3 linked regions of the Neurospora crassa OR74A genome follow. The protein of the gene in region 1 binds, or shares a complex with, the protein of each later gene. Links are inferred from orthologs where the notes say so. Each region holds a gene or a part of one and is shown on either strand. Other genes may lie near its edges. The genes, in order: NCU10747, NCU02808 and NCU04063.

What was found.
Region 2: NCU10747 (region 1) and NCU02808 share a complex: the UniProt entries of both Schizosaccharomyces pombe proteins name them as parts of the nuclear pore complex. The link is inferred for Neurospora crassa OR74A from reciprocal best matches to the Schizosaccharomyces pombe genes pom152 and nsp1.
Region 3: NCU10747 (region 1) and NCU04063 share a complex: the UniProt entries of both Schizosaccharomyces pombe proteins name them as parts of the nuclear pore complex. The link is inferred for Neurospora crassa OR74A from reciprocal best matches to the Schizosaccharomyces pombe genes pom152 and sec13.

The regions. Positions count from the first base shown.
Region 1 is NC_026507.1:2,685,445-2,696,012, reverse strand, and holds NCU10747 (hypothetical protein), read left to right. Parts: upstream 1-4,365; 5' UTR 4,366-4,713; coding exon 4,714-5,291; intron 5,292-5,351; coding exon 5,352-7,444; intron 7,445-7,515; coding exon 7,516-8,669; 3' UTR 8,670-9,178; downstream 9,179-10,568. Other genes in the region: NCU02381 (phosphatidylserine synthase), read right to left, coding at 14-109, 231-321; NCU02382 (hypothetical protein), read right to left, coding at 1,448-2,058, 2,118-2,317, 2,383-2,564, 2,631-2,730, 2,793-3,268; NCU02383 (hypothetical protein), read right to left, coding at 9,576-10,568. UniProt on the Schizosaccharomyces pombe protein: Functions as a component of the nuclear pore complex (NPC).
Region 2 is NC_026501.1:9,050,379-9,060,658, forward strand, and holds NCU02808 (hypothetical protein), read left to right. Parts: upstream 1-3,618; 5' UTR 3,619-4,225; coding exon 4,226-6,076; intron 6,077-6,185; coding exon 6,186-6,383; 3' UTR 6,384-6,733; downstream 6,734-10,280. Other genes in the region: NCU02809 (hypothetical protein), read right to left, coding at 374-1,195, 1,254-2,062, 2,214-2,615, 2,706-2,781; NCU02807 (uncharacterized protein), read right to left, coding at 7,717-7,756, 7,950-8,081, 8,179-8,294. UniProt on the Schizosaccharomyces pombe protein: Functions as a component of the nuclear pore complex (NPC).
Region 3 is NC_026506.1:2,619,156-2,628,835, forward strand, and holds NCU04063 (protein transporter sec-13), read left to right. Parts: upstream 1-4,126; 5' UTR 4,127-4,348; coding exon 4,349-4,351; intron 4,352-4,445; coding exon 4,446-4,493; intron 4,494-4,561; coding exon 4,562-4,677; intron 4,678-4,745; coding exon 4,746-5,493; 3' UTR 5,494-5,787; downstream 5,788-9,680. Other genes in the region: NCU04061 (hypothetical protein), read right to left, coding at 216-597, 679-854; pex20 (peroxisome biogenesis factor 20), read right to left, coding at 1,915-3,015, 3,093-3,212; NCU04064 (hypothetical protein), read right to left, coding at 5,788-7,576, 7,660-7,826; NCU04065 (potassium channel protein), read left to right, coding at 8,656-8,768, 8,844-9,680. UniProt on the Schizosaccharomyces pombe protein: Component of the coat protein complex II (COPII) which promotes the formation of transport vesicles from the endoplasmic reticulum (ER).

The sequences.
Region 1 (10,568 bases):
GACAAAAACTAACCATTCAATTCAGTAATGAGATCCGCGAGATGCATCGCGCGAATGAGAGAGAAGTGCCCCGCATCTGTAGAGAAGAGAATTTTTTGCTTGTCGTGAGCTACCGATTGACGCGCCATGTTAGCAACAGTTGTCTACCTTAAGCGCTCAAGGGCTTGCTCCTTTCAAACAGCGGATGGTAGATGATATCGAACAGGTTCGCATAAGGAAGGAAAACATACAGCGATCGAACTCGGCAGCAGCGGCGGAGGTGGAGTCGTCTTGGGTTGCGGCGCCATTGGCGACCGACGCATAGCTCGGCCGTTTCGACATGGTTGCGGTCGTAGAGATGGAGTGGAAAATTCACTTGGAATCTCGTGAATGGGAGAGATCAGATGGGTGTTGTCTCGTCGGGCGCTTGTCGTGTCTTTTATTTTTTCTCGGTTGGTTCTTGAGGGGGGAAAGTCGCCGGATGCAAGGAGGGTCCTGTAAATAAGAAGAAGAAAAAAAAAAAAGTTGATCAGCTGGTGCTCTGAGAGAAGGTGCAGCCTGCTAGTATTCAGTCGCCTCTGCATGCATGTGAAGATGGGATACCAAAGGGACAGCGGCAGGAGATGCTCACCAAAAGACTAGTTGAGGAAAGTTACTTTTACGGCCTTTTTCTTGCAAAGATGCAGAAGATGGGGAAGAATGTTTGTTGGTGAGGGGCTGGGACGAGTTTGAATGCCTCTACGTGACCACCTAGACCACGGCAGGACAACAACAAGGTGGTGGTATCCAAGTGCTTGTTGGTCACGGTGCCTTTCTGGTTTCGAGGTTCCCCCCTACGGGCAGTCCAGGTCAATGCTTCTCTGGAGGTCTGGATGAAGGGAATGACAGGGTCCTGCTTTTGTGGCAGGGGTCATGCCGTCATTCTGCGCAGCGAAATCTGGCCTTGGCGGGAGCCGGGGCGTCGACCGACTCGAGACCGCCTTCTCAAATCGTCCTTGGGCTGTTTGGCGGCCGCTTCTCTGCCGGCACGACTCGCTACCTTTACTTGACCGCCTGCCCTTCTCGTCCCGGCCGCGGGGACATTGTCCAAGATTACGTCACAAAAAAAGACGTGGTGATACAGACTTGTTAACCAACAACTTAAGCAAGGCTTCGAGACAATCGTCGATCGAGAGACCAGACGGATGGCGCGAGTCCTGCGCGTCATGACCTCCCAACACGTCTTTTGTCCTTGTTTCACTTTCAGTTTATCTTATTAACCTTTGTGTGAATGTGCTGCTTGGTTACTACCCGGCTTTGTCCAAAATCGAAACCCACATTCCGATCTTTGAGCCGTGACAAAGTCCTTTCCCCCTAACATCAAAACAGTTCGTCGCTCTACACTACGCACCCCTGGGAAATGACTGTACTGCAGAAACAACCCCAAGTACCTTCCCAGTTGACGGCCAGTCCACGAAGGGATGGATGTCTATGAACCGTTTCGCGATTTCACCTGTTCGTGTAGCTCCCTCAGCACACCACGCTCGGCAAGCTTCGTCACCCATTCATGAATTGCTGGCGTGTGGTCTTTTCTTCGACCAGGGTCTTCATTCTGAGCATCGCCGTCCTCGTCACCCTCCGGCCCAGACGCGACTTCTGTGTAGTACTCCGCCCGAATTTGCTCCTGCTTCTGGCGGAGCTCTGTTCTAAGAAGCAACGCTTCAGCCATCTCCATCCCACCCGTTTGTATATCATCTTGCAACCGACGAGCTTCTGCTGAATTTTTGATCATGAGTTTAGCTTCGTCAGTACTGAGCTGGAATTCGTCCAGCTTACTCTGATCGTTGAAGTTGCTGATATGGTCCTTGAACGAAGACGAGTCATTGCCTTCCTCGAACCAGGCCGATTCGCTTCGGAATGCATCATTGAGCAATTCCGTGCAATGGATGTTGACAGCGAGTTGACGCCGCAGTGCGGCCCGACGGTCTCCGCAAAGAGCGAGAAGGCTAAACGCCAACTGATCGGCCTCGTACTCCATCATCTTTTCTTGGATGACAGGTTGCGCTACACTCGTCCAGTGCGCCCCTTTCTCAAATTTGCCTACAATATTTGTTAGTCGCATCGTGTCTGAATTCTTTCGTTGAGTAGGAGAGACACACCGACGTAGCGGGGGTTAAACTTCAGCCCATCGAGTTCCCACACGCTACGGTCCCCGTGGTTTGGCACATATGCAACAAAGTGGTAGGCATCCTCCATCTCCTGCTCCTTCTTGCGGCGCGCTGTGGTTCTAGCCCGCTTTTTTTTGCTGTCCTCAACCTTGTTCTCGAGGGCCAAGGCTGCATTGAGAAGGTCCAGACGCCTGTTGAAACGTCAGCTCAAGCCGTTTATGCTCAGCCCTTCTGGGAAGCGGAATGCCGTACGTACCTTGCGAAATGATTATGAGCTACCCTGATCCACGAACTGTTACTGAGCAGGTGACCACGCAATGGCGGAGATAGCGGTCCAGATTCCTCCTTGAATTTGGATAGATTTATGTCCAGTGGAAGGTCTTGGGCGTTCATGATGATGTTGAATAAAGCGACTGTCGCACACGCGTTGTTGGTCGTCTGCCAACCAAGGTTAGCCACAGTCGAAAACAGAGGGAGGCGCCAAAGGACAAACTAATGACTTGCCTGGTTGGCGAACCATAACCCAAACTCCTCATCTGGCTCCAGATCTTCCTCCTCCTCTTCCATGACCTGGAATAGGAACACTAGGCCATACAGAGGTTCCCTACGCGCAGTCAGTACCTGTTGATACCCCTTGATGCAACATGGGAAGCGCCATCGACTCACGGGAGAAGGAGGAGCGATTCCTCGTCAACAGACAATACCTCCCTCACTTTTGCCTCCCGTATGCCGAGTAGTCTGAGAATACGGTTGAAGAAGACTGGGTCAGACTCTACGTCCGTCCAGCTTGGCCATTCTGCCAGCTCATTTTCTTGCCACGGTCCTAGCGAAGCCTCCAGGACGTCCATGGGCACGTCAAAGACTTCAGGGGCTGCCTTGCGCTTGGCACTTCGTCGGGGTCGAACAGCTGTCGTTGGCTCCTCTGAAGCGGGCGACTCCTTGAGCATCGATAATCGCTCGGGATCGGCTGACTCTTCCAGCTTTGCTGAGGCCTTCGAATCGAGTGACGCCCTCTTCCGGCTGGCCTTCACACCGGCAGACGAATTGAGTTCGTCGTCAGAGCTGAGTTCCGCATATCTTGTGTTTGGCTTGCGGGCACGCCCTGAGCGACGGGTTGTCGCCGGCTCACTATTTGGATCCATCTTTCAAGGAAAGTGTCGTGGAATGTACTTGATGGGTTCGACAAGCAGTAACCCAATCAAGCTGAGGGATGTATGTTGATAAGGCTAAAGAGGGGGGGGGGGCAGGCTGCTCGTCTTTTCCAGCTCTGGTTTTAGGGACAGTCGCCGTTTGGAGATAGTGTAGCGTGGGATCTTGCCTTGTGACTTGTAACCGTGAGACTCGGGATATGACATGCCGCGAACATTACAGGGAAGTCTGGTATGGAGGCTGTTTTGTTCGCTCCCAAAGTCGATGGGTGAATAAGGTAAATGATCAAATCTGAGAGGCAGTTCAAGTTGATGGAGGAGAGTACGCCGGGGATGTTGTAAGTGACTGCACCAATAACTCGCTTGCAATCAGTCCGATGAAAGTTTGGTGGATCAGCTCTTGGGTCGAGCCCAAACCGGCAGACTAACGAGCAGTGGATGTAGTGACGATCTCATGCGATCAGTAGCGACAAGATGGTGAGGTTGTAAAGAGAGAAAGAAAGACGGCCTTGATGGAGGTCGGTGTTATGTGTGTAAGTGCCGTCGCAGGCGCACACAGACACTTGGGCAGCTGCTACACTACATCCGGCCGGATACTGTGTAGTGTTAAGTATGTAGAGCCAGGTAGGTAGTAGACGGGAGGTACACTACCTACCTACCTGATGGCGGACCACCACTCCTGCAAGTGTCATCAACCTACCGTAGCATTTGTGCACCCCGGGTTTCACGGGAGCAATTTGAGCATCAGGTTCAAGTCTAGACACGTTTCGGATCCTTAAAGACGGCTACGACGATCTTATGATAAAGTGCTGCCCATCTTTGCCCGGTGAGCTACATGTTGCTCGACCTCTTTTGTTTACTTCCCCCTCCACTTTCGCTCAATACCTGGGTACCTACGTATTGTCCCATGCACTGTCTGACTGCTTGAAACAGCTGAAGGCAGGGGACCAGGTAAGCTTCAGAAAGCACTGACCAACAGAAAGATGGGGAAGGTTTCCCCATTTCTCCAATCACAATCGTCTAAACAGCCATTGGCACACGCTAGTAGGCCAGCCAAGCAGCACTTGCAGTGCGGGCAGCGACTGCAAAACCTCAAAGAGACCACAACCGCGTCTTTGACGTGACTTGTTAGTTTCCAGAGTGTTGGGAAATTTTAGGCCTGTCTCTGCCTGCCCGCAAACAGGAAGAACAAGAGGAAGACTGAGAATGCCTGTTTTGATGTCGGCTCTCCATATCACCACTACTGCCAACGACTGATTAACCACGCCTCTCTCTCCCCTCGTGGACCATTCATTCCTTCCCGTCCTTCGGCGATTGATAACAACGACAACGACGACGACGACGATAGCTACGAAAATCACGACGACAACCACAACGTGCACATTGTTGCGCCCCGTGGCCACTACCAAGCCGTCAAGCCTTCACAGACTCGGCATGCCATGGCAGGCAAGGACTCTATAGGCGGCTTTCCCATGGCCGGACCACGACGACCCGAAGCTGCTCCCGCGAATCGCGCCCGAACAGCAACGCCCAATGCCCTCCCCGTCGCCCCCCAGAGAAATGCACCAGCACCAACAGGCCCAGGGCCAGTGATCCCGCTTCACGTTATCGATGCGCCCACACAGCGCCTCTACGCCGTTGCCGTCTACGCGGCTCTTTTTGCGTGGAAGGTGTACGACTGGACCCAAGTGGTGGAAGAAAATACCGAGTCTTTCTGGCTGTTCCTCAAGTGGATCGCCCTAGACCTCATCTATCTCTTCGGCCTGCCCGAGCTTAGGATACCATGGCTCGAACTCTCCCAGTCCTTCGTCGTCTTCGCCTTTGTTGCCCACGCCTTGGTTGACTGGATGCTCATGTTCAACATCGGCCTCCCGTGGCAGACATGGCTGTTCGGATTTGTCAAGGTCTTTTACGACCGGGAGCTTGCCATTACCGAACATCAAGTCAAGGTGTCCAGCATCCTCTACAATCACTCCCTCCTCATGGGTAGGCAGATTATCAACATTCTCCCAGAAGGGTAAGTCATACCAAGCAAGAGCACTAGTGAAAAGGCCCGGCAAAGCTGACCATTCACCAGCTCTGTGGTGCTCAACCCCGAAAACACCCCGTACTGCATTGGAGGGGACACCAAGGTTGCCTCGATCCCTCTGTTCTTCAATGCGACAACTCCCATCGATGTCGAGATCATCCGCACCGACCTCGAGACCAACGAACACGAAGTCATCAAGTTGACAAGAAACCAGCTCAAGGAAATCAAGAATGAGGTCAAGAGGAACGCAGATGACGAGATCTTCACTGTTAAGTACAACTTTCCCGTCAAGAAGCCTGGTGCCTATCGATTGGGCAAGGCGCTTGACGAGTATAAGCTTGAAGTTCATCGCAGGACTGCCCTCACCTTTGTGGTCCCTTGCCCTCGCGCTAGCGTCGAGGTAGTCTCCTCGCCAAACCGCTGTGTCGGCGAGTTGTCTGATCTCAGCCTCTTGGTTGATGGCACGCCGCCACTAAAAGTCATCTATAGCCGCACCATCAACGGCAAAGACCACAGCTTCAACATCCAGAGCTTGCAGCCAGAGGGCTTCTCTTCTCCGCTCCTCGGTGCTTCGCGTAGTCTTGCGAGACTCATTGAGGATGATGACGTCTCCTGGGCTCGAGCTCAACGGGTCCCCGTCAACCTCAATGAATCCATGAACGCTGGTGGAGTCTGGCAGTATTCCGTCGATGAGGTCCATGATGCGTTCGGAAACGTTGCTAGGTACACCGGCCATGCTGACGACTTGGATCCCAAGACAAGGCCAAAGCATCTGGTGCAGAACCTCTTCGTCAAGGAGCGACCGCGTGCGCGTCTTGAAGGGTGCGACGTTAGAAATCCTCTCAAGGTTGCCAGGGGCGGTTCCAAAGATCTTCCAATCAGATACGAACTTCCTGGCCCCGTACCCGACGACACTACGTACACCATCAGCTGGCTATTCTCGCCGATTGACACCCTCACCAAGAGCGGTGACCATGGGGATGTTGTTTCTGTTGGCACCTACGACACCAAGAATGCCAGGGACCGGCCGAGAATCGCTGCGCCTGGTTTGTATACCCTCAAGTCGGTTGTTGCCGGACAATGCGAGGGAGAGGTGCAGGAGCCGTCTTCTTGCTTGCTGCTGAACCCTCTCGAGCCCAAGCTCACGCTGCGCTCGGAGGAGATTCCAGATACTTGCGCTGGAAATTCCATTGGGTTGCGCGTCGACATGGACCTCATTGGTACTCCACCCTTCAACGTCAGATACGAGGTCATTTCCAATGGGCAGCGTTCGGTGGAGCGTATCAAGGTTAATGGCCTACGTTTCCAGCAAGAATTCATCCCTAGAATTGCCGGACATCACAAGTACGTGTTCACACATATTGGCGACTCCATCTACGAACCTCAAAAGCTCAGCGGGCCCGAGTATATCCTCGAACAAGATGTCAAGCCAGCAGCTTCTGCCAGCATCATTCACAGCACTGGTAACATGGCCGCTTGTCTTAACGACGATGTCTCGGTGGATGTGCAGCTTCAAGGCGACGCACCATTTACGCTGGAATGGGAGATTATCCATGACGGCAAGAGAAAGCAGTACAAGGTCAAGGATATCCAGACGAACAAGTATCAGATCAAGACGGGCTCCCTTGCTAAGGGCGGCGAGTATACTCTGGCGTTGACGAGCGTCCAAGACAAGAGAGCATGCCGTAACTTTGTGCAGGATGAGGTCAAGGTCTCAGTGCGCCGCCAGAACCCAAGAGCAGCGTTTGGTCTTATCGATGCCAAACGCAGGACCATGGCAGTTGAGGGCTCGACGGTCAAGCTGCCGCTTCGCCTCACTGGAGAGGGCCCATGGAAGGTTTTCTACAGCAATGTCAACGATACCTCGAGAAACGCCCCCCGGGTCCTGGAAAAGACGATCAAGCACGACAATGACTTCCTTGATGTTCGCACCAAGGGTATCTTCCAGATCACAGATGTCTGGGATCGACAATGCCACGGCATTGTTGATCCGAAGGCATCGTCTTTTGAAGTCGACTGGTTCCCTCGTCCAGAGCTCGCCATTGTACAGTCTGCGCACGTTCAGCCAGATGGCACCAACAGCTTTGTTGTGAGCGATGTCTGTGAGGGCGACGTATCTGGATTTCAAGTTGCACTCAAAGGTAAATCTACTATCAGCCGCCCCATCAGGCACATTCCTTGGTTTCCCCACAGCCTGCTAATGTCTACACAGGAACGCCTCCCTTCCATGTCGAATACCAGATTCGCCATCAACCTGCGTCTGGGCCAGCTTCTATCAGTAGGAAAGATTTTGAAGCTGCCCTCGGCAAAGCTTCCGTCCCTGCAGACACCTCCAGGGCGGGCCAGTACACGTACACGTTCAACTCACTTTCTGATAACCTCTACATTAATGACCGGACTTTCAAGCCCGTGACTGTTAAACAGAAGGTTAATCAAAAACCCACTGCCGCCTTCGCCAAGCCCGGTCAAACCTTCAAGTACTGCAAGACGGACCAAGGTGAATCCGAGTCGATTCCCATCACTCTCAACGGCGTCCCTCCCTTCAACCTCGAGTTCGAAATCAGACACCAAAGCAGCCCGATTCCGGAAGTGTACCGTACGCCTGCAATCAACTCCAACTCGTACGAGATCCAGATCCCGCGTCACCAGCTGCGCCTTGGAACCCAAACGATTCGCATTCGCAGCGTTCGCGACGGCAGCGGCTGCCACTCGATCTCCGATTACACATCTGCCCACAGGGATACTCCCGATGGCAAGGCCCACTCGGTTCAAATCCAGCTCTTTGAGGCGCCCACCATTTATCCTCTCGAGACTCGCACCGACTACTGCGTCGGCGAACGTCTGGGGTACTCCCTTGCTGGTGCCGCTCCCTTCGAGGTTTGGTATACCTTCAACGGCGAGGAGTCAAGGGCCAAATCTCCCACCACGACTTTCCGCCGTATCGCCGAGCACCCCGGTGAGTTCACGATTACCTCGGTTAGTGACCGGGCATCCGAGTGCCGCGCTCCTGTCAACATCTCCAAGACTATTCACCCTCTCCCCGCGGCCCGTATTTCCAAGGGCAAGCAGGTGCAGACGGACATCCACGAGGGTGGCGAGGTCGAGATTCTTTTCGAGTTCTACGGAACCCCTCCGTTCGAGTTCACGTATACTCGCAGCACCAACCCCAAGAAGAAGGGTGAGCGTGCGACGGTGTTGGAGACCAAGCACGATATCAGCGAAGAGTATAGCAAGGTCATCAAGGCCAGCCAGGAAGGTGCATACGAGGTCGTGGCCATCAAGGATCGGTTCTGCGCGTTTTCGACGCAGATGCTTGGGGTGGAATATGTGGAGGGTAAGGATGGGCGGTTGCTGAAGTACCAATGATCACCTTCTTTGTGAAAATCAGAAGACAAAAAGGAGTAAGGCATGGGAGGTGGCAAGAAACGAAAAGGGGTCGGACATGAAGGGAGGAAGGCGGAGGAAAGAGAATCATGCAGGGAGTCTCAGAGAAACAATGCTGGGTGACACGGTGTGCTCTGGTCGGCTGGCCATGGCCACGTATGGCATGAAGTGGGCTGTTGCACAGCTGGAGGAAGCAAATCAAAAAAATTAACGATGGAAAAGAAGATGAGAGAGATAGGGTTCTAGGGATGGAGATCTGGTTTTCGTGTTTTCGTTTTTCTCTTTTTTTTTTTGTAACGAATTACTACCACTACTCTACATCCACTTATGTGTTTTTCTGTAGACTAAGAACATAGCATGGCGTTTTCTGTCTTTATGGGGAACGAACAATTACCACAACTCACGAGAATGAACGGAATAGGATATGATGGGAAGGCAGAAAGGGCGGGCGGCAAGGAAAAGGATTAATGAAAAGACTTGAAATCATGCTGAATCAGTGTTTCTGTTTCCGTGCGTCCATTCCTTGAAATCGAAAAAAAGTGTTGCAGTATTTCAAACGTGTTGTGTTGTCATATATATACCTTTCCATATTTCTATCCAATCCGTATCTTATGCAATGCTCTCTCTCTCTCTCTCTCTCTCTCTCTCTCTCTCTCTCTCTCTCTCTCTCTCTATACTTCTTGCTGAATTTTTGAATGGTCCACTTTCCTAAAAGCGACCAACTGCGCGAATGCGGACTCCATCCAGACCGGCCTATCCCATTCAAACTTTGTCCCGTATTCCTTCTCCTCCTGGTCTCCATCCATCCATCCATCCCCGGGGGAGTCTGTGCCTTCTTCGCCCTCTCCCCAGCTTACTTCATCCCGGAAGTCCTGGTTAGCCCCGTCACTACCCCCTCTCCCCATCACTAGCACTCTTCGCCCTCTTCGCAGGGCTCATATCTCCACTCGGTCGATGATGCAGCTTCTTGTTCGCCAGCACATCATCCCTACTTCTACTACCACTACTACTGCTACTACCAATAGTACTAATCTCCTGCAGGCCAAATAATAACGACCTAGCACCGGCTACCGGTGAGGAGCAGCTATTGCTTGCGAGGAGGGTTTGCTTCTTGAGGGAAGATGGCACAGGTACAGACAACACCGAGATCGGTGTAACCACTGGCACAGCAGCAGCACTCTCCAACCTATTCAGCGCCTCGGTGAGTTTTCTCCGAGCTTCGAGCTCTCTGTTGGTACTTGGAGAGCTGGAGAAGGATGAAGGAGGAGGAGGAGGAGGAGGAGAGGAGGAGCAGGTAGTAGTATTATAGGGGGAAGGTGACGATCGAGGTCGATAGAACTCTTTGACAATGCAGAGCGCGGCGTGGTAGACTTGGTAGAGGAGGAGGCGAATGCCGGCGTTGGGGAGGTCTTCGATCAGCGAGGAGATTATGTCGTTGTCGCTGTTGCTGCTGGCTTCTGTTGGTGGCGGAAGGCTGGATATTGTTGGTGCAGGTGCACGAGTAATGGTGGTTTGTTCGGTGATGGCTGTGATGGACATGACTCCTGTGTTGGTGCTGTGGGTGCTGGCACTTGTGTTTCTACTGCTGCCCCCGAGATGGTTCGCATGGGTAGAGGCAGGACCGGTTTCGAAACCTTCCATGAAGGATTCCGAGACGCCGTCGCTGAAGATGGTAGCTAATAGTGGATCGCCAAAGACGCAGTTACTCCAATCTTGAAGGCCGGTAAGCGTTAGTCGTCGTTCTGTACCGATGTAGTTGTCTGACGCGGATGATGCCGGTTGTGGTGCTGTCGTGTAGTTGCTATAGCCGTTTGTACTTGTCGTGCTCTCCACGGTGACCAAGGTGTTTGTGTCATCAGCCACGTCAATAACCACTAATCT
Region 2 (10,280 bases), on another chromosome or scaffold:
CTAACAATACTCTTCATGGGACACAGTCGAGTATGTATCCGTACGTAACTCTATTCATTTTTCTCTTTCTAGACCTGATAGTCTATCATACCTATCACAATTCCCTCCCCCTTTTGAAACTGAACCACACCCGAAAAAAACCTTCTTGTCCTTCGCTAATTACAACACCTGATATTATAACAAGTCTCAGTCTATCAAAGTAATCACCTCCTGTACATCGAATAGAAGAATAGAATATAATCATCATCCTTTTCCTTTCCCCCCTCCATTCCCTGATCCCCAACCAAACCAACCACCCACACTCTCACATATATATATACCCAATCACACCCACCTCCCCCACCCCGACTTATGTACTCACGTACTTACTTACTTACTTCCTAACCTTCCTTGCATGCTTCACCAGATTCTCAATCACCCCTTCAAACGCCTCCCGATCACCAATCTTCTCATCCGTCCTCTGCTGCCAATACACCAACACCTCGGACGCCACCCCTTGCATCGCCTCCAATTTTTGAACATGCTCTTTGAGTTCCTTGTCCGTCATCCCCGAAAGCGCCTCATCCGTCGTCTCGCACAGCTGCTTGGCAGCCACTAGGTCGAATACCGGTTCGGGCGGTGGTCCCTTCCTAGCGGAACTGGAAGAGCGGTTGGCGCTTCCTTCTGTGTTTGATCCTGCGGCGGCGGCGACGGTTTTGTTGACGGGTGGTTGCTTGGATGGGTTGCGGCTTGAATTCGAAGTCGAAGTAGTGGTAAGGTTTTGGCTGTTTTGGTTGTTGCGGAAGGCAGCGGCGGCAGAGCTAGCGCGTCGCGAACGACCTGTGCGTTCGTCGTCTGCTGCGTCGGGGTCGCCTAACGAAGGCAAGACGAGTTTCTTTTGTTTGGAAGCGGGGAGGATCTCGTCTAGGTCGACGGGGACGCCGAGGGAGACGAGGAAGAGACGACGGATGCGGGAGCGGATCCAGTCGGGGGGTTGGAGTGGGGGAGGGGCGACGAGCTGTGACCAGAGGGAGGCGGAGCGGGGGTGTTGGAAGATGGGGTCGGTGATGCCGTTGGAGACATTGAGGGTGGGGATGGGGGAGGAGGAGGAGTCGTCGCCGTCGGTGTCGGGGGAGGGAGGGAAGAGAGCGTTGAGGTAAGGGGAAGTGAGGGAGAGGATCTCGGACGCGGAAAGGTGGGTGAAGTCGGGTATTTGCTAGGGGATATGTTAGTGTGTGTTGGACGTAGAGGGAGTAACTGGGTTGGGGACTTACGAAGGATAATGAGGACTGCGGTTGTTGTGGTTGCGGCTGAGGAGCAGGTGCTGGAGCTGAGAACCCTTCGGCTTCTTGGAAGTCATCGTCGTCAAAGCCGGCATCGTCAAAGTCGCCAAAGTCAGCATCGTTGTTGGCCTCGGCTCCCTCCTCAAAGTCGTCAAAGTCATCCCCAAAGTCATCGGCGCCAGCCGGAGCTGGCTCAGCAAAGTCGTCCCCAAAGTCGTCATCACCAAACCCGTCATCGTCGGGGGCTTTATCCCCTGCTTCAGCAAATCCGTCGTCGTCGTCGTTGTCGAACCCATCTTTTTCAACAGGCTTCTCCTCTTTCTGGTCAAAGCTGACATCGTCCTTCTTGTCCTCTTCTGGCTCGACCTTCTTCTCGTTCTCTTGACTGGGTTCTGCCTCGTCGAAGTGGTCCTCTGTGTCTTCTTCCTTTGTATCTTGCGTCTCAAGCTCTTCGCTGGCATCCTCGAACTCGTCTCCTTTCAATGCTTCTTCGGTGTCGCGGTCTTTTGACTGTTCCTCCTCGTGCTTCTCGTCCTCCACCTCTCCATCTTGAGCCTGCTCAGTCTTGACCTCTACATTCTCCTCCTCCTTCTTGGATTCATCTTCATCGGCGTCTTCGTCGTCGGCGGTCTTGGCGTTGTCTCGTACGACATTGTCGTGCGCGTCATCTTTTGCCTCCTCCTTTTCTAGAAGACTGGGCCCCAATGAGGGCGAGTCAGGGGATGGCTGGTCTAGATCAGATGACGAGTCTCTAGAATGGATCGAGGCGGGACTCTTTAATGCAGGTGGTATTGGTGTATCTACGCAGGAAAACGTAAAGTCAATACAAAGGAGATCTTGTATAATTTGCTGGCTCAAAAAAAAACAAACAAACAGGCATGTGCTTGTGAAAGTGTGTGTGTGTGCGCGCGCGTGTGTGTGTGGCTAGAAAGAAGTGCTACGCATCCGTACCATTGTCACCACCCTTCTCATGCTCGACCTTTTGCCCATCCGCCTTGACAAGCACGTCGGGAGGACTGTCAACCCTGTGCCTCGCTTCGATCTCATGGTGGGTGACGGCACCAGTGCTATCTGGCGTCTCCTCCACTACGGTCATGGGAATGGGGCGCCCGCCTGGAGTGGACGGCCGGCGCTGGTCATGCTCCTCGGTCGAGAGCTTGGTGTCTGGGTCTGGGATAATGGCAAATTCATCCGGCTTCGCGTCCCCTTCCCTCATAGAATACGCCTTGGTCCCCGGGACCTCTCCATACGCCGGCTTGTCGTCTACTCTCTCGACTCTTGTTCGCGGGATGGGCGAGGAGGGAGCTTTGGGAGAAGAGATGGCATCGGAGTAGTGATCTTCGGTGTCGGAGCCTGTTGTCGCGTAGAATGAATGGTTAGTTGGATATCCATGTGCCGACTTTGTCCAGAGGTCTCCCAAGTTCCCCATCAGCTGTAACCTACCAGGTAGCTCATGAGCGCCCGGGTCCATGGTCCCCTGCCTCTCGGGAGGCGACAGACTGTTCCTGCGCGAAGCCATTGTGATCTCGAAGCGTAGTCGCGGCGGTCTATACGATCAAAGAACAAGAGGATTTCCGACTATGGTGAGTGCTGAAGGAAGCGCAGAAATGTATATGGTAGGTAGGAAGCAAGATAGGTGTATGTATATGTATATGGATATGGATATGGATATGGGAGGATCGGGATCGGGGATCGGGGGGCCAAGGTGAGGACTGAGGAGTGATGTAGTTGGTGTGGGGTGCTACAGTATGTTTACTGCTGTGAGGGACAGGACTGGAGTGTCCTATAACAAGACGGGAGTAAGCCGACTCTTATACTCTGCAGGAGATAGGTCAATTGCACGCAGCAGATGGCCTGAGGTCAAAGTGAACTGAATCAAGATTGGGTATGCACACAGACGTTGCGGCTGACTTGTGGCATCCCAATGTCCAGACGATGGACAGCAATGTGTGTGGAGAGAGACGAGAGAAAGGAACAGCTTCCGGATGGCCTAGAGTTAGTCTAGAGGATGGGCTCACGATGGCCTAATCTAGAACATGGGGTAACCACCACCCCAAGCTTTCCGAGACGACTGAACGGGGCTCCTGCTTCTTGCTCGGCTACCCTGGGACGGTGCGGTACGGTACGGTACGGTATGGTACTAAGGTACCGCCGTGTCCGGAAACTGTATGGTAACTCGCTGCGTAATGTGCTGCAACCAGACGGTCCAGTCAGAATGCAGAAGAGCATCACGGCAAGTGGAAAGTCAGCACTTCGCTTCAGTTTATGAGGCCCGCCCCGTCATTGCTCAAGTTCTCCGTCAGTTGTCGAACTGCCGTCAAGCCACATATTGATTGGCCGTGCACGCTTGGCACTTGCTAGTAAAATGTTAGACGGGGTAGGTGAGGTGAGGCTGACCACTTCACCTGGGGCTGACTCGTTGCAGTGGTGACTGGAGTGCTCCAATAAGCGGGAAATGCTTGGCCTTGTTGAGTGCGCGTCCGGGTCCCCAGAAGGGGAAAAGCCCAGGCGCGCTGCAGCACCTCCAAAAAAGTGGAAAGGCCTGTCGCGACGGACGGAACCTTGACAAACAGAGACCGAGAGACTGAGTGACGCTGCCACACTTTCTTTGCTTTCTCCAATCCACGCCCAAACGACGTCCACGTCCACTCCACCAAACGGATTCCGAACCGACGTCCAAAACTCGCGATCCGATAACCACGGCTGGACCATTGCATCACTTACTCAAAACCGAGATCGCGCCGATCTTCCTCTTCGCATTTCAACGAATCGTTGCTTGGGTTTCCGCGCGCTCCCTGTTGTTGTTGAGGTAACCGCAACAGCCTTGGGAAGTGGGACGCTGTTGTTGACTTTCTAGATTTTGGTTGACGACGACTACCCAACCACCAACGCCTCATCCATCCATCCAACCAACCAACCCCGAAACCTCGACATCATATCGTCAGCCTCACATAATCGCAATCATGTCATTCTTCGGTACACCAAGCTCCAGCGCGGCCTCGGGCCAACCAGCAACAACTGCTACATCCGGTGGTCTCTTCGGAGCCTCCTCCTTCGGCACCCCAGCAGCGAGCTCGACACAGCCAGCCGGTAGCTTGTTTGGCGCTAAGCCTACAGATGCCTCGAAACCTGGAGGACTATTCGGAGCCAATACCACCTCGACTACACCTTCGCTTTTCGGCTCTGCTTCCAACACTGCCGGAGGAGGCAGCACGACGCCTGGCGCAGGCTTGTTTGGAAACACCACTGCCAACACATCGACAACCCCCGCCGCTGGTGGCTCGAACTTGTTTGGTGGCGGGGCCAGCACCACACCCGCAACAGGAGCTCCTTCGGGAGGTCTGTTTGGAAACAATGCTTCTACTACTCCGGCTACCGGTGGTCTCTTCGGAGCTGGCGCCAACTCTCAGACGACGCCGGCTAAGACCTCGTTTGGACTAGGATCGACTACCCCAGCCGGTGCACCACCTGCTGCTGACGCTTCCAAGGCCGCGCCCTCTCTCTTTGGTGCTACCCAGCCTGCCTCTGGCAACCTCTTTGGAGGAGGAGGAGCCTCGAGTACCCCGACCACAACCCCTGCCCCCACCTCGGGAACAACACCATCTCTGTTCGGAGCGAAGCCAGCCGAGACCACCACCTCTGGCACCACTTCTGGTCTCTTTGGCGCCAAGCCAGCCGAGCCTGCGTCCAGCACAACTCCCGCGACGACAGCCACTTCCGGATCTACTCTCTTTGGCGCGAAGCCTGCGACCAGCGGTGGCAGCCTGTTTGGCGGAGCCTCGACAACCCCGGCTACGACATCGACCACGACCACCACAGCACCAGCAACTTCCGGCCTCTTTGGTGCCAACACAAGCAAGCCGGCCGAAGCCGCAAAGCCAGCTACGGGTGGTCTGTTCGGCGCCACTCCTGCTACCTCAGCTCCTGCCACCTCTACCACCACTGCTGCTTCCGGCAGTCTGTTCGGCGCCAACAAGGATGCTACCACTACCTCTACTGCCCCAGCATCAGGAGGCTTGTTTGGATCGACTACGCCTTCGACGACCACAACCACGGCGCCTGCTCCTTCGTCTTCGACCACAACTAGCGGCCTCTTCGGTGCGGCCACCACCAAGCCCGCCACTACCACAGCGGCCACCACCACTGCCGGTGGGAGCACCACCGCCACTGCTGGAACCACCAGCAGTCTCTTTGGAGGAGGAGCCAAGCCTGCGGACACCACCACCTCCAAAACCACCACCAACAACACCACTACTGCCGCCGGCACCACCAGCACCACCGGCAACCTCGCCTCCACGACCACCGGCCCCACTTCTACTCTCCCGCGGTTGAAGAACAAGACCATGGATGAAATCATCACCCGCTGGGCCACCGATCTCTCCAAGTACCAGAAGGAATTCAAGTCGCAAGCCGCCAAGGTGGCCGAATGGGACCGCCTCCTGGTCGAAAACGGCGAGAAGATCCAGAAGCTGTACACCAGCACGTACGAGGCCGAAAAGGCCAGCAACGAGATCGAGCGCCAGCTCTCGGGCGTCGAGTCGCAGCAGGACGAGCTGACCGCGTGGCTGGACCAGTACGAGGCACAGCTGGAGGAGTTGTTCAAGAAGCAGCAGCTTGGATCCGGCGGCGAGTCAAAGGCTGCTGGCGGTGTTGGCGACGGCTTGGGCCCCGATCAGGAGCGCGAGAGGACGTATAAGCTTGCCGAGAAGCTGACGGATAGGCTGGATGAGATGGGCAAGGATTTGGCCAAGATGATCAAGGAGATAAATGATATGACGGGCACGTTGAGCAAGGGGAGCAAGCCTGATGATCCGGTATGTTTTTCTCTCTCCCTTTTTTTTCTCCTCCTTTTTCTCTCCTTTTTCTCCATTTTTCCCTTATTTTATCCAATCACTAACGCACACGATAAACAAAACACAACAGCTCAGCCAAATCGTCCGTGTCCTCAACGGTCACCTTCACCAGCTTCAGTGGATCGACCAAAACGCCGCCGACCTCCAAGCCAAGGTGGCCGCTGCCCAAAAGGCTACCAGCGGCATGGGTGCCCACCAAGGCGTCAACGAGTCGGATGCCGCTCAGAGCTTTTACCGCTCGTACAGGGCCGGTGGTGTGAACAGGTGAAGGGAAAGGGAAGGGAAGGGAAGGGAAATAAATGGGCTTTGATGATGCTGTATTGTAGGAAGCTAAAGTAAAGTGAAGTATGAGTGAAAGAGAAAGAGAAAGAGGCTGAAGAATCGGATGGCGGCGAACTTGTCTGTGTGTGTGTGTGTGTGTTCAGTTTTGAGTACCCTACCTACCCTAGTTTGTTGGTTTGTTGGTTTGTTGGTTTGTTTTGTTAGTCTGTGAAAGACCATCATGGTATGATTTGAAACGTCTTGTATATGTATCGTGGCTGTGGATGGGGGGGGATCGATGATGTTAATTTACGTAGCTGAGATCTGTCTGTCTGTCTGGCTTTGGGATGGGTTAGGAGACAAGAAAAAAGGCTATGCTATGCTAGGCTGGGCTAGGCCACTTATTCTAGGTTGTGGAAGCAAAAATCAATAAACAAGATGGGTTCAAGGTAATGGCCACAGTCCAAAAAGGGGTTCATTACATCTGGAAGGGAGTTCATGTGTCTGTTTTTTTCGATATATTGTCTTCATATGATGTCGAGTGAATATCATACATATCGGACTGCCGAACTGTACATATAGGTACCGACTGCCAGGAGTTTCATTTTGAAAACCGAGACGTAGAGCATCATTGTTGTGACTCAGAACGTCGGTGGGTATCAGTGAAATTTCTTATAAGACGGACTTGAAGTTGTTAATACTTCAGTAAAGTACCGTCCCGTCTGCTTTCTTTTTCATGTTCCATGTAAGTGGCATTAAGATAATGAAGAGTCTTGAGTCTGGATCAAAGTAACTAGGTTTTGAAAAAAAAAATTAGTTACGGAACTACGTAGGCTGGCTTGCTTTCCTGATAACTTCATTACTCTTCAGCCGCATTATGAGATTCTGGTTCAAGGGCAAGCCGATGAACCCAATATCGCCCCTACTGCAGCACAGGAACTGTTCGACTCGTTTTGGACTTTCTCATAAGCTCGGTTCTGTCACGGTTTTGCTTTAGACACTTGTTCGTCCCATTGATGCAACTTGTGAGGTCCATAGGTCCCCCGGTCGTGATTTTGTGATCATCGATCATGGCTTTGCTCGCTATATTGCTACAAGGGGTAAGTTTGAGATATGTGTAAGATGACACTCATCCTCGGCGCGCCGTCCGTCCCCGTAGCCCAAGTCCCATCCTTTCTTAACCCCCCCAAATCCTTGGCCCCTTCTCATTTCATTGCATTCATACTGCGTAGGCGTAGTGGCGTGTGTAGCGATGGGACGTCGCGAGAGGGAATGATAATAAGCAGAGGAAGAAGAAAAAAAAATATGTTTATGGGTTGTTATTGTTGCTTGTTGTTCGTTTAGTTGCGCTCGCCGCCCTGCTCCCTGGTGATCTCGTCACTGTTTCTCGAATGTTAGTAACTGCCTTGTTTTTAGAACTTTCTTTTATTTGTGAAGGAGAATCGAGGCCCGGCTTCCTCTGATGATGGTGTGCGTAGCTGACTACGGCCCATATGATGCGCGCCCGGCCTGGTGTGTTTGTGGCGACTATGCGCCGGTGGTGGCTGTTGGCTGGCTGATGGGTCGTTCTTACATGTGATCAGAAAGAGTCTTGAGGTGCTTCTGCTGCTCGGCGAGCTTCTTCTTGAGCTCGAGGAGCTTCTCCTTCTCGCGCTGGCGGATAGCGAAATCCTCGTTGGCCTTCTCGCGGCGCTGGAAAGCGTCACTGGAATGGGAGGGTATGATGTCAGCGGGTTTGAACTAGTTGGAGTCGCCGCGTATCCACGTGCGCGTGCGAGGAACGCGGCGGAACAAAAACTCACCCTGGGCCGCCGGTCTTTGGGGGAGCACCAGTCTCACCGGCGAGAGCGCGGGAGGTGGTCGCAAACGCCCTGGAAACGGTAGGGCGAGCGAGCTTGGAGACGGTGGTGCGGAGCATCTTGATGGTTGGTTTGGTGGTTTGGTTGGACTAGAGTGACGTGGGTTAAGCTTTAGCGGATGGGGTCTCTTTTCTTAGGTTGGCGTGCCAGAAGACAGATTTGATGGGTGATTTGATTAAAAAGAGTTGAGTGTATGTATGGGAGAAGATGTGTTACAACAGTTGGACAGTCGCGGAAGTTGGTGTAAGCTACCTTTTTCTATTGAATCGTCGAGTTAGTTGTCAATGCGATTACGTTGTGTAGGCGATGGTGATCCAATTGCGTAGTGTACACTTGCTTGGGATGACCTGACGAAAACTGGAGACTGGAGTTCGGGGACGGGGATGGAGCTTCTCGGGTCCGCAGGGACGTCGAAGCTCGGTTCTGTTCTCCAGCGAATGTCGTCGCGGGTTGGGGGTTTGTACGTACCTTACCTTCCATACCGGGACAAGGCTCAAGGCTCGTGGCTTCTGGCGCCGACTTGCTCCGCCTGTCCGCTGACGGCTCGGCTGTGGCAGTCGCTGACAGTTGGCAGCTTTACCGCAATCGGGTTGGATCAGACAAACCTAGTTCTCGCCTGAGGCAGCAGTTTGTTGCGACGACACTCGACAGTGTTCTTTGCGCAAGCTTCCATGGCACGCTCAACCCCACTGCCCCGCCAAACCTAGCTCACCCCTCTTCCCACTTTCAGCTGTCTTGCTGGGAGGTAACGAATGACGCATCAGGGGCTGAGAGGGGGTCCGAAAGCAATCATGATCTGGAGTCAATCAATGCCCTGGAGTGAAAGACAACCACAAACGAAACTCCGTCGTGTGTCTTAGACCAAGTACCTAGTTTTGTCAACAAACGGCCCAGGGCAACAACTCCCCTGATTCAACTTGTCTCATTCAGTGATGTTGTGACTTTGATTGCAAGCACGCAAGAAGCAGGGCAACTTTGCAACCTGAACGCCACCACCTGCTGTGAACACACTCGGCAGTGAGATCTTGGTTGGCGCAAGCGGGCGGCTCTGTGGGTTTGCACAACCCAAACCCAACTTGGAGTCCCATTGAACCCTCCAGCCGTTCCAGCCCGAATTCTATATCATTCATTCAGAGTGTCTCTATGGGCGGCTTGCCCCTCCAGCCTTCTTGCATCATAGTATTGTACCAACTACCACGGCATGGATTTTGCCAAACTCCATGGAGCCGGAGATCATCGTGTTCCTGGCATTCGTGAAGGGCCTTGCGATTGAGCAAGGTCAGACAAGGGACCCTGGGTGGACTCCATCCTCTCAATCATAAATGCGGGCCCATCCCTGTCCATCGAGGTCTGGACAGCGACCTCACGGCGAGAGGGATGAAGCTCAGCTGATGCTATAGGAACGGTTACATCTGGAGGGCGACAACATGTAGGGCGAGACCCGAATGGTCTCTAGATGGCTTCAGCGTGATGGGTGTGAGCAGAAAGATCTCTTGAAATTGTAGAGATGATGCCAAAGCAAGAGTTGTAGACCGTGAGACCGATCCCGTTTGGCCAGGCGAGACAGGGTCTTGTTTAAGGACATAGGGGCTGGACACCAGGTGGAATCCGAGCGATTGGTTTGTTTACAGCAGTACATAGAGACTTGTAGCCGTGGAGAGAACTAAGCGCATGATCCAGATATGCCGGGCACTTTATGCCATAGAGACGGATGGATAGGAATTCATGGAACAACGGAATCTAGGTAGGGAGCGGCAACCAAGGTCCAATCGCTTCAATCATGGCATCCATCCGTTGCGTGTATGATTCCAGGTTGGCGGGATGAAAATAGGGCTGTTGAATAACACCACCAGGAGGAAGGGGCTGATGGTGGTGTTTGTGACTGCCACGACAGAGGGTTATCACTATCAGAGTTTTTCATTCAAGAAGCAACGTGGTGTCTCCTTTCGGCCTACCTATTTTATGATTCCGCCGTCGTTCGCTGCGTGGCACACCTATCCGGCAGGGCTGCCCAGCTGCTGTCTGGGTTGGTGGACAAACAGGGA
Region 3 (9,680 bases), on another chromosome or scaffold:
TGATCGCAGACAATGAGTGGTCGAATCAAGGTTTTTGTCATCCTTTCAAAACATTTCCCTCCCATTGACGCTTTCATCTCCAACCCAAAAACTTCCCGGTAGAGAAGGCATCTTATCTCATCACTCTCTGATATAGAGATCACATAGGTACCCAACCGTTCTCTACCCAGGGTATCCTCCTTCTTCCCTACTTCGAAAATGAATCCCCTTGATGCTCAACGATCCATAACCTCCCAAAACATATCCGTATTCAGCACCACCTTCTCCCCCATCCAAATCGCTTTGTCCGTATGATTCCTCGCCTCCTTCTCCGCCTCACTGATCTCTCCGCCCTCACTAATGGTCTTCTCCGTCGTATTCGGATGAATCAACACGCTCAACGGTCCTCTCCAGACCGCCAACCAGCCCACAAAGGCACCAAGCTGCGCCGGCGTAAAGATGTTCACTTCAAACATGCCAATCGGGTGAGGACCGACGGGTTGGCTCCAAAAGGTGTAGATGCGTAACTCGGGGAACTCGTGTCTGATGCGGGAGTGCAGCTCGGCAGCGTAGCGGGCTTGGGCGGGGTGGTTGGGGAGGTGATAGATGTGGACGTCGCTTTGGGGAGTGTTAGTGAACTTACAAAGGGAGAAGGGAAAGAGGGAAAGAAAAGGCAACGAGGGGGGTATAGGCTCGTACAAGGCACCTCGTCGCCCGTTATCTAGAGGCTCGGGAAACTTTTCGTAGGCGCTGCTGAGCACGCCGGTTTGGTTGTTGAGGAGGCTCTTGCCGTCTTCGGCCTTTTCGGTGGGGAGGGGAGGGGCATTTTCGTAGCCTTCTAGGGGGGATTTGTAAGTTGGTCTTTGAGAGGGCATGTTGTTGTTGTTTGTTTTAGGAGTTTAGAGTCTAGAGTCTCTGGCTGAATGGGTTTGGGGTGAGCTGGTCGGGGTTGATTCTAAATTGAATTTTAGGGTACTGCGTCAACTCGGATGTGAACTGAAGTAAATAGGTGAGAACTATGTTAGGGTCAAGTTGAAGTCAAATATGGTGTCCGAATAGCTTCATCGACGTGATTCTCTCATGAGTAAGCATTACGAAGGTGACAATACGGATGACAAATAATGGCGGTCGTTTAAATGCCACGCTATGGGGTCCCGGCATGGCATCATTCCAGCATCCCACCCGTGGCCGAATGGCGATCCCGTCCGGGGAAGCCCCACCCCCGCACGGCGGCATCCCGACTGGACAGTCGGCACACGGGACCCCACGAGTTCCATGCCCCTCCGCTCACTTGGCCGGGAATGGCGACTCGACGAGAAGCAAAATCAGTAACCAAAATTCCAGTCCGAGGTATTCACACGTGTCAGTATCAGTTATGTGAATCCACGCTAATATGAGAATGATAAGCCTCCTGCTTGTTGTTGTGAGAATAATTATAGTACAATAACAAATGCCTATTACGCCGGTGTAATAGTAATAATACTCCGAAACAATGCTGACATGTAACAAGTAGTGAGAGAAAGTATGAACCATGCGCCTGCCTAGCCTCCTGTGGCCTTCTTGAACGCCATGCCCAAACCCTTGGTATCGGAACCTGACCCAAGCCATGACTGAAGCAAATCCTTTTCGTACCAAACAGTTCCATATTCATGTAAACCCTTTCCTTCTATCCCAGCAATGTGAAAATACGTCCCTTGGAAACCAGTCCATGCTCGGAAATGCGCAGCAACAAAATCGAATGCTCGACACGACATCGTGTCGATGTCCCCTAAACCGTAATAAAGCCGTAACAAAAGTGAGAAATCATGTAACAATACGATGTCGCGCCTGCAATGATAACAAACTGGTCGTCCCAGTCCCCATACAGTGATTCGATTTAACCAGCAGTGAGCCAAGGTCGAAACACGGTATCCTCGACTTTGAGGTGCCGAAAACTTAAGCGGAAGAAGCAGGCTCAGCGGAAGCTATGCCCTTGTCGTTCGCATCCAAAGAGCCAGAGACATCGTCGTTGGGGCCAAAGTCGGAAGGGCTAGTGCTAACCTGCTCGCCAGTCGCCACATCGACAAGCTTATCACCGTCGACCTCGACCTCTCTGTTGCCGATGCGACGCATCAAATCCAGGAAAGTCGACTTTTGAAATTTCTCGGACTGGTTGTCGGCGACCGAGGTCAAAATGGCGTTGGCTGCCTTGGCCAGCTCCTCGTTGCCCTCGCGACGACGAGCCTCGGCTTCTTCCTTGGCTTCCATCTCTTCAGCGAGGTTCTCCAGATCAGCATCGATAGTGGCCATTTCCTCGTCGGTGGGGGGGCCGACTTTGGTGTTGTTCTCGGCGCTCGGACCGTGCTGCGCCATCCACTCGGCCTCGGCAGCCTCAAACTCCTGCTGAGCTTGCTGAGCCTTCTCGGCCTTTTCCTTCTCGGCCCACTCAGCAAGTTCTTGCTCAAAGGAAGACTCGTCGTACTCGCCAAAGGCTTTGTTAAAGGCTTCGATGTCAAGTGCCGACTCGACGTGGTCGTTGAGGCCGAACTGAGGCTGCTGATGAGTGAAGTTGTTCGTGGCTGTGCCATGCATGACAAAAGGATCGTCCATGGACAATCCCATTCCCATTCCCATTCCCGTACCCACACCCATTCCCATACCGCCGAACTGGCGAGTGTTGTAGGCCATATGGTCGTCCTGCAAGCCCATCATGGAGTTGTGGGTTGCAGTAGACATGGCTGCCGGCATGGCTTGAGGTGACATGGCCGGGGCCGCGTGAGCTGTGTCCTGACGGAGCTGCATGCTGGCGAACTGGTCGACCCAGCCGTGGGCAGCGGCACGGGAGGAGTGCATGGGACTGGCCGTAGCCGGCGCACCTCCGACCGCATGACCAAAGACACCAGGCGCTGGACCAGCATGAAAAGCCGGGACGCCTGGGTTGTTCAGGAACGTATTATTCGCAAGGCCGAGGGAAGGACCCGGGGCGTCGAGCATAGGGGCTTGCTGAAAGGTCTCAAAGGCACCATCAGCAGCGAAGGAGGGGCGGTTTCTGAAGGACTGGATGGGTTGTTAGCACCGAGTTACGCTGGATATTCTACGACAAGACAAAACAAAAGAAAGCGATCATATCATACAGCACCGGCAGCCGAGTTGGGCGAGTTGACCAGGCGGTCCTGGTGAAGAGTGCGGTCGCGATCAGCGTGCGCAAGAAGGTTCTTGGCACCGTTGGACGGGCCGCACATGCTGTCAGACATGTTGAGCGAGGTTTGACTTGTTGGAAGCAAAAAGGCGAGAAGCGCGGGTGACGGTAAGTTTCGAGAAAGAAATTACAAAAGTAGAAGGTTTTATAAATAAAGAGTGAGGAACGAAATGTCCTTGAAGAGAGTATATAATTATTGTAGAGCGAGGAAGACTTGGATGAGTGAGCGAAAGGAGAGTTGTAAGTTGTAAGTAATGTAGATTAGTGGCGCGAAAGTAGAAGCCGAGGTTCTTTGAACAGCGCGATAGTAGTCACCGAACCCGCCGGTATCTCAAGTCTTCAACGCTAAGTATTTGGAGAAAAGTAGTTGGAGAGGGGGGAAGATGGAAACGAGAAAAAAAAGAGTAAACAACGCCGGACCTAATACCACGAAAAGGACGCGACTGATTACTGTGTGTAAAGAAATCCTTTTAGCAAGCAAACAAAAAGCGTCGCTGATTTTGAACAAGTAATTCTGGAAGAAGGGTCAAAATGGTCAGGTCTGGTTGAGTGAGATTCCATCCCAACTTTTTGTGACGGGAGTGAACGCTGCCACGGCACTGGCGAAATTCCCGTCGGGGTAGCCATGCGCTCACACGCTATCATGTGCACGGCATGTTCAGTGGACTTTTACAGCGGGACGGGAGAGCCCAGGCGACGCGTGGGGTCGTCAACGGGCCCCTGCCTCACCTGCCCCACCTTGGTTGTCTCAACAAGAGTCCACTTCGAGCCTCCGACCTGGTTACAATAACGTCACACCACGGTGAGCCTACGAGGAAACCGACAAAGGCTCCACTCACCTTGCTCACCTTGCTCACCTTGACTTCTTGCCAGCTGGACCACATCGCTCGACAGGGATCACTGCGCAAGCGTCAAGTGGAAGCTCCAGCGCAGCAAGACGGGTTCACCTATCGTGTCGCCTGGGCGTCCACTGCCTGTAGCTTGCAGCTTCCATTCCCAATGCCCGTCCGTGGTGATCCAACTTAACAGCAACTGAATCCCCAACGACGGCCCTTTTTCCTTTCTACTACTCTGAGTAGTGTACTTTATAACTCCAGTCTGAATTCATTCATCACCCAAAGGACGCAAATACAACTCCATACAAATCTATTTGTCTTTTCCACAATCTTCAATACTCCATAATTAATCAACATGGTACGTCCTCTTACACCCCCAAAGCTGCCGGCGGCGTCCCTCCCCCTTACTTGGCTACCTATCCACTAACATGAAGCTATCGCGACAATGACAGACCGCAGGCGCACAGGTTATCGCCAACTCTGGCCACGATGATATGATTGTACGCTGAACATCGCCCCCTCGACGTTTCCCGACAACCATCCCTCTGTTTCTAACCGACCCTCGCAGCACGATGCAGTTCTCGACTACTACGGCAGGAGGTTAGCGACATGCTCCTCGGATCGCACCATCAAGATCTTCGAGATCGAGGGCGAATCACAGCGACTTGTTGAGACATTGAAGGGGTATGTTTGCGATGGGCTACAGTCACCAAACAATATGGACAATGGGTTAACCTCCCTTCTTCCGACAGACACGATGGCGCAGTTTGGTCCGTAGCATGGGCGCACCCCAAGTACGGCAACATCCTCGCCTCGGCAGGCTACGACGGCAAGGTTCTCATTTGGCGCGAGCAAGCCGGCAGCTGGCAGCGCATCTTCGACTTCGCCCTACACAAGGCTAGCGTCAACATCGTGTCCTGGTCTCCCCACGAAGCCGGATGCCTCTTGGCCTGCGCCTCTTCGGACGGCAACGTCAGCGTTCTCGAATTCAAGGATAACAGCTGGGAGCACAACATCTTCCACGCCCATGGCCTGGGCGTCAACTCGGTCTCGTGGGCCCCCGCCACCACCCCCGGCAGCATCGTCAGCAGCAACCCCGGCCCCGGCTCGACGGGCAACAGACGCTTCGTGACTGGCGGTTCCGACAACCTGCTCAAGATCTGGACCTTCGACCCCGCGACCAACGGATACAAGCTCGAGCGCGAGCCCCTGGCGGGTCATACAGATTGGGTGCGCGACGTTGCGTGGAGCCCGACTGTGCTTCAGAAGAGCTATATCGCAAGCGCCTCGCAGGACAAGACGGTGCGCATCTGGACGAGTGACGCGGCGAACCCGGGCGAGTGGAAGTGCAAGGTTCTCAACTTTGATGCGGCCGTCTGGCGCGTTAGCTGGTCGCTCAGCGGAAACGTGCTGGCCGCCAGCAGTGACAACAACAAGGTCACACTATGGAAGGAGAACCTTAAGGGCGAGTGGGAGAACGTCAAGACCATTGAGGAGTAAAATCACATGGGAATTCGGTCACGTTATGATGATGATGGGTGGCGAGCGTTAGCATAATATTGGTAGGTAGGATATCTACTCATCATCCAGAGTGGGCGTTATCGGGTAATAAATAAGGGAGGCCAGCGAAAAGGAGCAGGCTTACCTTCGGTTTCACAAGAACATATCCAGGTTGGCTTCACATGAACCGCTCGGGACAATGAAGAGATCATACCGAGTTTTATCTTACACTATCACATTACCTCGGGCTTACGGGGAGTACATTTGACCCAGTACATCCCACCTCCCAAGTCATCAACGCGCCTTATCCATCTTCTCTTCCAACCATCCCAACACAATCTCCCTTCCCCTCTCATCCAGATCCCCAACACCTTCCAAATCGCCAATCGCCATGTCCTGATCGTCCACCACGCCCACGTCCGCCACCTTGACCCTCCTCGCCGCCTCCAGCTCCCAGTGGTGGAGGTCGATCAAGTAATCCTCGTCCCACTTCCGCCGCTCTTTGAGTTCCAACATCTCAATGCTCCGCTGCATCAGCAGCGCCAGTTCGTACGCTTGCGTGCGGAAGCTGTTCTCGCCAGCGGTGATGGCGACCGGGGGTTTGCGGTGTTTTCGCGTTTTGAGACGAGGGCGGGGTTTCTTCTTTTCCTCTGCTTCGCCTTGTGCTGAGTCGCCCTCTTCGTATTTCTCTCCCTGGCCTTCTTCTTCTTCTTCTTCTTCCTCCCCCTTTATCTTCTTCTGCTTCTGCTTCTGAACACCACTAAGTCCCTTTTGATTTCTGTTCCGGGCCGCGGCATCAACAACCCCATCATCCTTCCCCCCCTCCGACGACCCAATCTTCGCCAAAGCATCACACTTGAACGGCAACTCCGCCGACGGCGTCTCATACAACAATAACGTATCCGGCAGCTTAAGCATGGAGTGCCTCGGCGGGAAATGCACATAGCTCTTACGTGGGAACTTGCCAGGTAGAATCTCTACCTTGAGAGTTTGTTGGAGCATGTCTTCGGCCGCTACCTCGTCCGGCTCGCCTTCGGCGTCGTTGATCATCGACATGTGCATACGGTAGTGCTCCGAGTGCTCCGAGTTGTCGGGATCGAGGTCGTCGGTGGGGTTTTGGCTGGCTGGGAGGGGCGACGGAGCCGGAGGTTGGTGAGGAGGGGGAGTAGAGGGGGAAGTCAATGGGTCGTGGGGTTCGCTGGGGACGTCCGCGGGGACGTTGATGTCGCCGCTGCTGACACCATTGGCGCCGGTACCGGCACCGGTAATCAATGGCCCTGGAGGTGGCGGAAAAAGCCATTCAGGAACATACTTCTCATCAAAAGTCGTCGGAACAAAAAGTCCCGCCGTGTGGAAAAACAGACAAGCGCTAGCAAAGCTGTCAAACAGTCCCGACGGCGAGCCAAAGAGATCTTCGAGCCGACGCTGATAATGGGCAATGATGGGTGAGGTGGCAGCCGGTCCTGCATCTTTGTCGAGGTCGCGGTTCAGCTTGTGCAGCTGCTCCTCGATAAGGATGCGGTCGTCGCCCTTGGGCCGGTGGATCGGGTGGTCAGGCAAGAAAGTGGTCCAGTCGTAGATGCCGTTGTAGGCGAGGAGACCGCGTACGGCCATGCGCGCGTGTGGGTACGACTCGGTGAGAGCCAGCCCGGCGGCCAGACTGGCGCCAAGGTAGGAGCCGCAGATGTAGACGTCTTTGCGTTTGGGGTATCTTGGTTGGAGGTTTTGAATGATCCAGGAGTAGCCAAAGAGAACGTCGTGGATAGGGGTGGGCCAGTGAAGGGGAGTTATGCTGATATCTTCTTCCTCTTCCTTGGGTAGTCGCTCTTCTTCTTTGCTATTAGGCGTCTCGCTCGATTGATATCCTTCATCGTCAAAATCGGGCTCTTCAATCTTTGGCTTGAGTTTTGGCTGTGGTCTGTCGTCGTATAAGCCAGACCATCTATAGTGAATGACAGCGGCCGAGTATGTGTGAAGCCATGATGGGAGTTGATAGTTCGGGTCAGTCTCGTCCCGAGCAGCAAAGGGCGGGATCCAGATGATTAAAGGATCGGTTGGCGGCCGGTCAGCGACATTGTACAGACTGAGCCACAGATATCAGTCTAAAATTGGCCTTCGTCACTCACAGCTCCCAAGGAGACTGTTGATGTTATGTTGACCACCTACCTGACGGTAATTTCACCAGAAGAGGCGCATGGAACAGTATAGCGTTCTATCGAAGGCTCAAACGGGGGACTGCTACTGTAGAATCTTCTATGGGACGCCTGGTGCGAAAATTTTGGTAAAGCGACGGTGATGCGCCTAAGTCTCAGTGCTAGAGTCCATCTGGACATCTTCTACGGAGTTGCCAGTGTATGATGAAGTTCTGGCATAGTTTCTTTGTCAGACCCTTTCTCATTTCACGATTTTACAACTGAGTAAGAGGCCTTGGACACTGAACGAGAAATTCTTACTCGTCGGAGCACCAACTTATCCCTTCGTCTCTTTCCTTTTCTAGATGCAGAAGAATACCCCATGGGAGGTTATGACTTGCCAAGCTGGATAGTCAACGTTGATGTCACGATCAAAGCTGGGTGTTGTTTTGGTGTTGTGCTGCCGCCAGAAATTGTTAAGAGACGACGACCATAAACAAATGGAGATACGTACCTACAGCAAATCACTGTCTGGCATCTGGTGGCAGCTGAATTCTATGGAAAGTGGGGCCATGTGACCCTCCACAGAACAAGCTCTCGTTAAAACCTTGGCAGAACTTGGCTTTTAGCGATCACCGCAGCCCTCCAGAACATGTTCTTGCCCAGGGCAGCACGTCATATGATGGATGGGGACGGGAATCAACGTGACAAACAACCCGACATTTCTCTTTCAGCTTGGAAAGGGCTGGCCAGGTTATTCCAGGAAAGTATCAAACCAACTTGTCTTATATCTTTACTACCGTACCTACCTAGGTAGTCCCAATGAACCACCACCGACATTCATTCATGCTTCGTCCTTGCCGCCGTGATGCTACGATAATTCGACGATGACATTCAACAGCAAGCGTCCATAGGGGAACCCATCCCGGTACCCCATGACACTTCATTTTACAACTATCATCATTTTGTCTTTCTTTTTTTTTTTACTGTATCTCTCTTATAATCGCATTAATACTACCTATCTGACAACATGCAGGACGCTGGTGGTGAGAATGTGGAGGAACATCTTCAAGAGGTCGATGCGCAGTACAAGGCCTCACTTCCCAAGCTTATGGGAGAGGACCAGGCCCATCGAGATCCCAGGTAAGTCACATCAGAGTCGTCCTTGGGTACTCAGTTTGTATACGAGTATATACTGACGGTCTGGACTTTGTCAAGTCGATGGTGGTTTGCCTCGGCTGCTTTTCCCATGGTCGCAGGCACACTTGGGCCCGTTGCAAGCGCCTTCAGTATCTGTGCTCTAGTCCGGCCATGGAGACAGAATTACACCAAAGGGGCTGACATCAAGACCGCCACCTTCATCAAAGACCCAGCCTGGCTGATCGCTATCAATGCAGTCCAACTTGCCATCGCGCTAAGCTCCAACCTGGCGCTACTCCTTAACATGACCAGGAGACTCCGGTTCTCCGTCGCTCAACCCGTCACCATTGTCGGATGGTACCTTTCATCCATATGCTTGATAGCCCTCGCAAGTACGACAGCCGGACCGCTGAGACCGGAAAACAACGACTTCATCTGGTCTGAAGCTTACTTTTACGGCATCTACGCCGCAGTCCTGTACTTCGTTGTCGCTTCGCTCATGGTAGCTACCGTCTGGGGATCTCAGCAGGGGCACTACGCAAAGGATTTCATGCTCACACCCAGTCAGAGGACACTGATGCTACAGACCATCTCATTCCTCATCTACCTCCTCATCGGTGCCCTTATCTTTTCCAACACCGAAGGATGGAACTACCTCGATGGCGTGTACTGGGCGGCCGTGACGCTCTTTACCGTGGGATTTGGCGATTACTACCCTACCTCAACTCTCGGAAGGGCTCTCCTCTTCCCGTACTCCCTGGTCGGCATTATCAGCTTGGGTCTCGTTATTGGATCCATCCGCACTTTGATGCTAGAGCGCGGCAAGAAAAGACTTGATGCACGTATGGTGGAAAAGCTCAGACATCGCGTGTTAAGCAAAATGGCCAAGAAGGGAAAGGATGGTATACTTACACC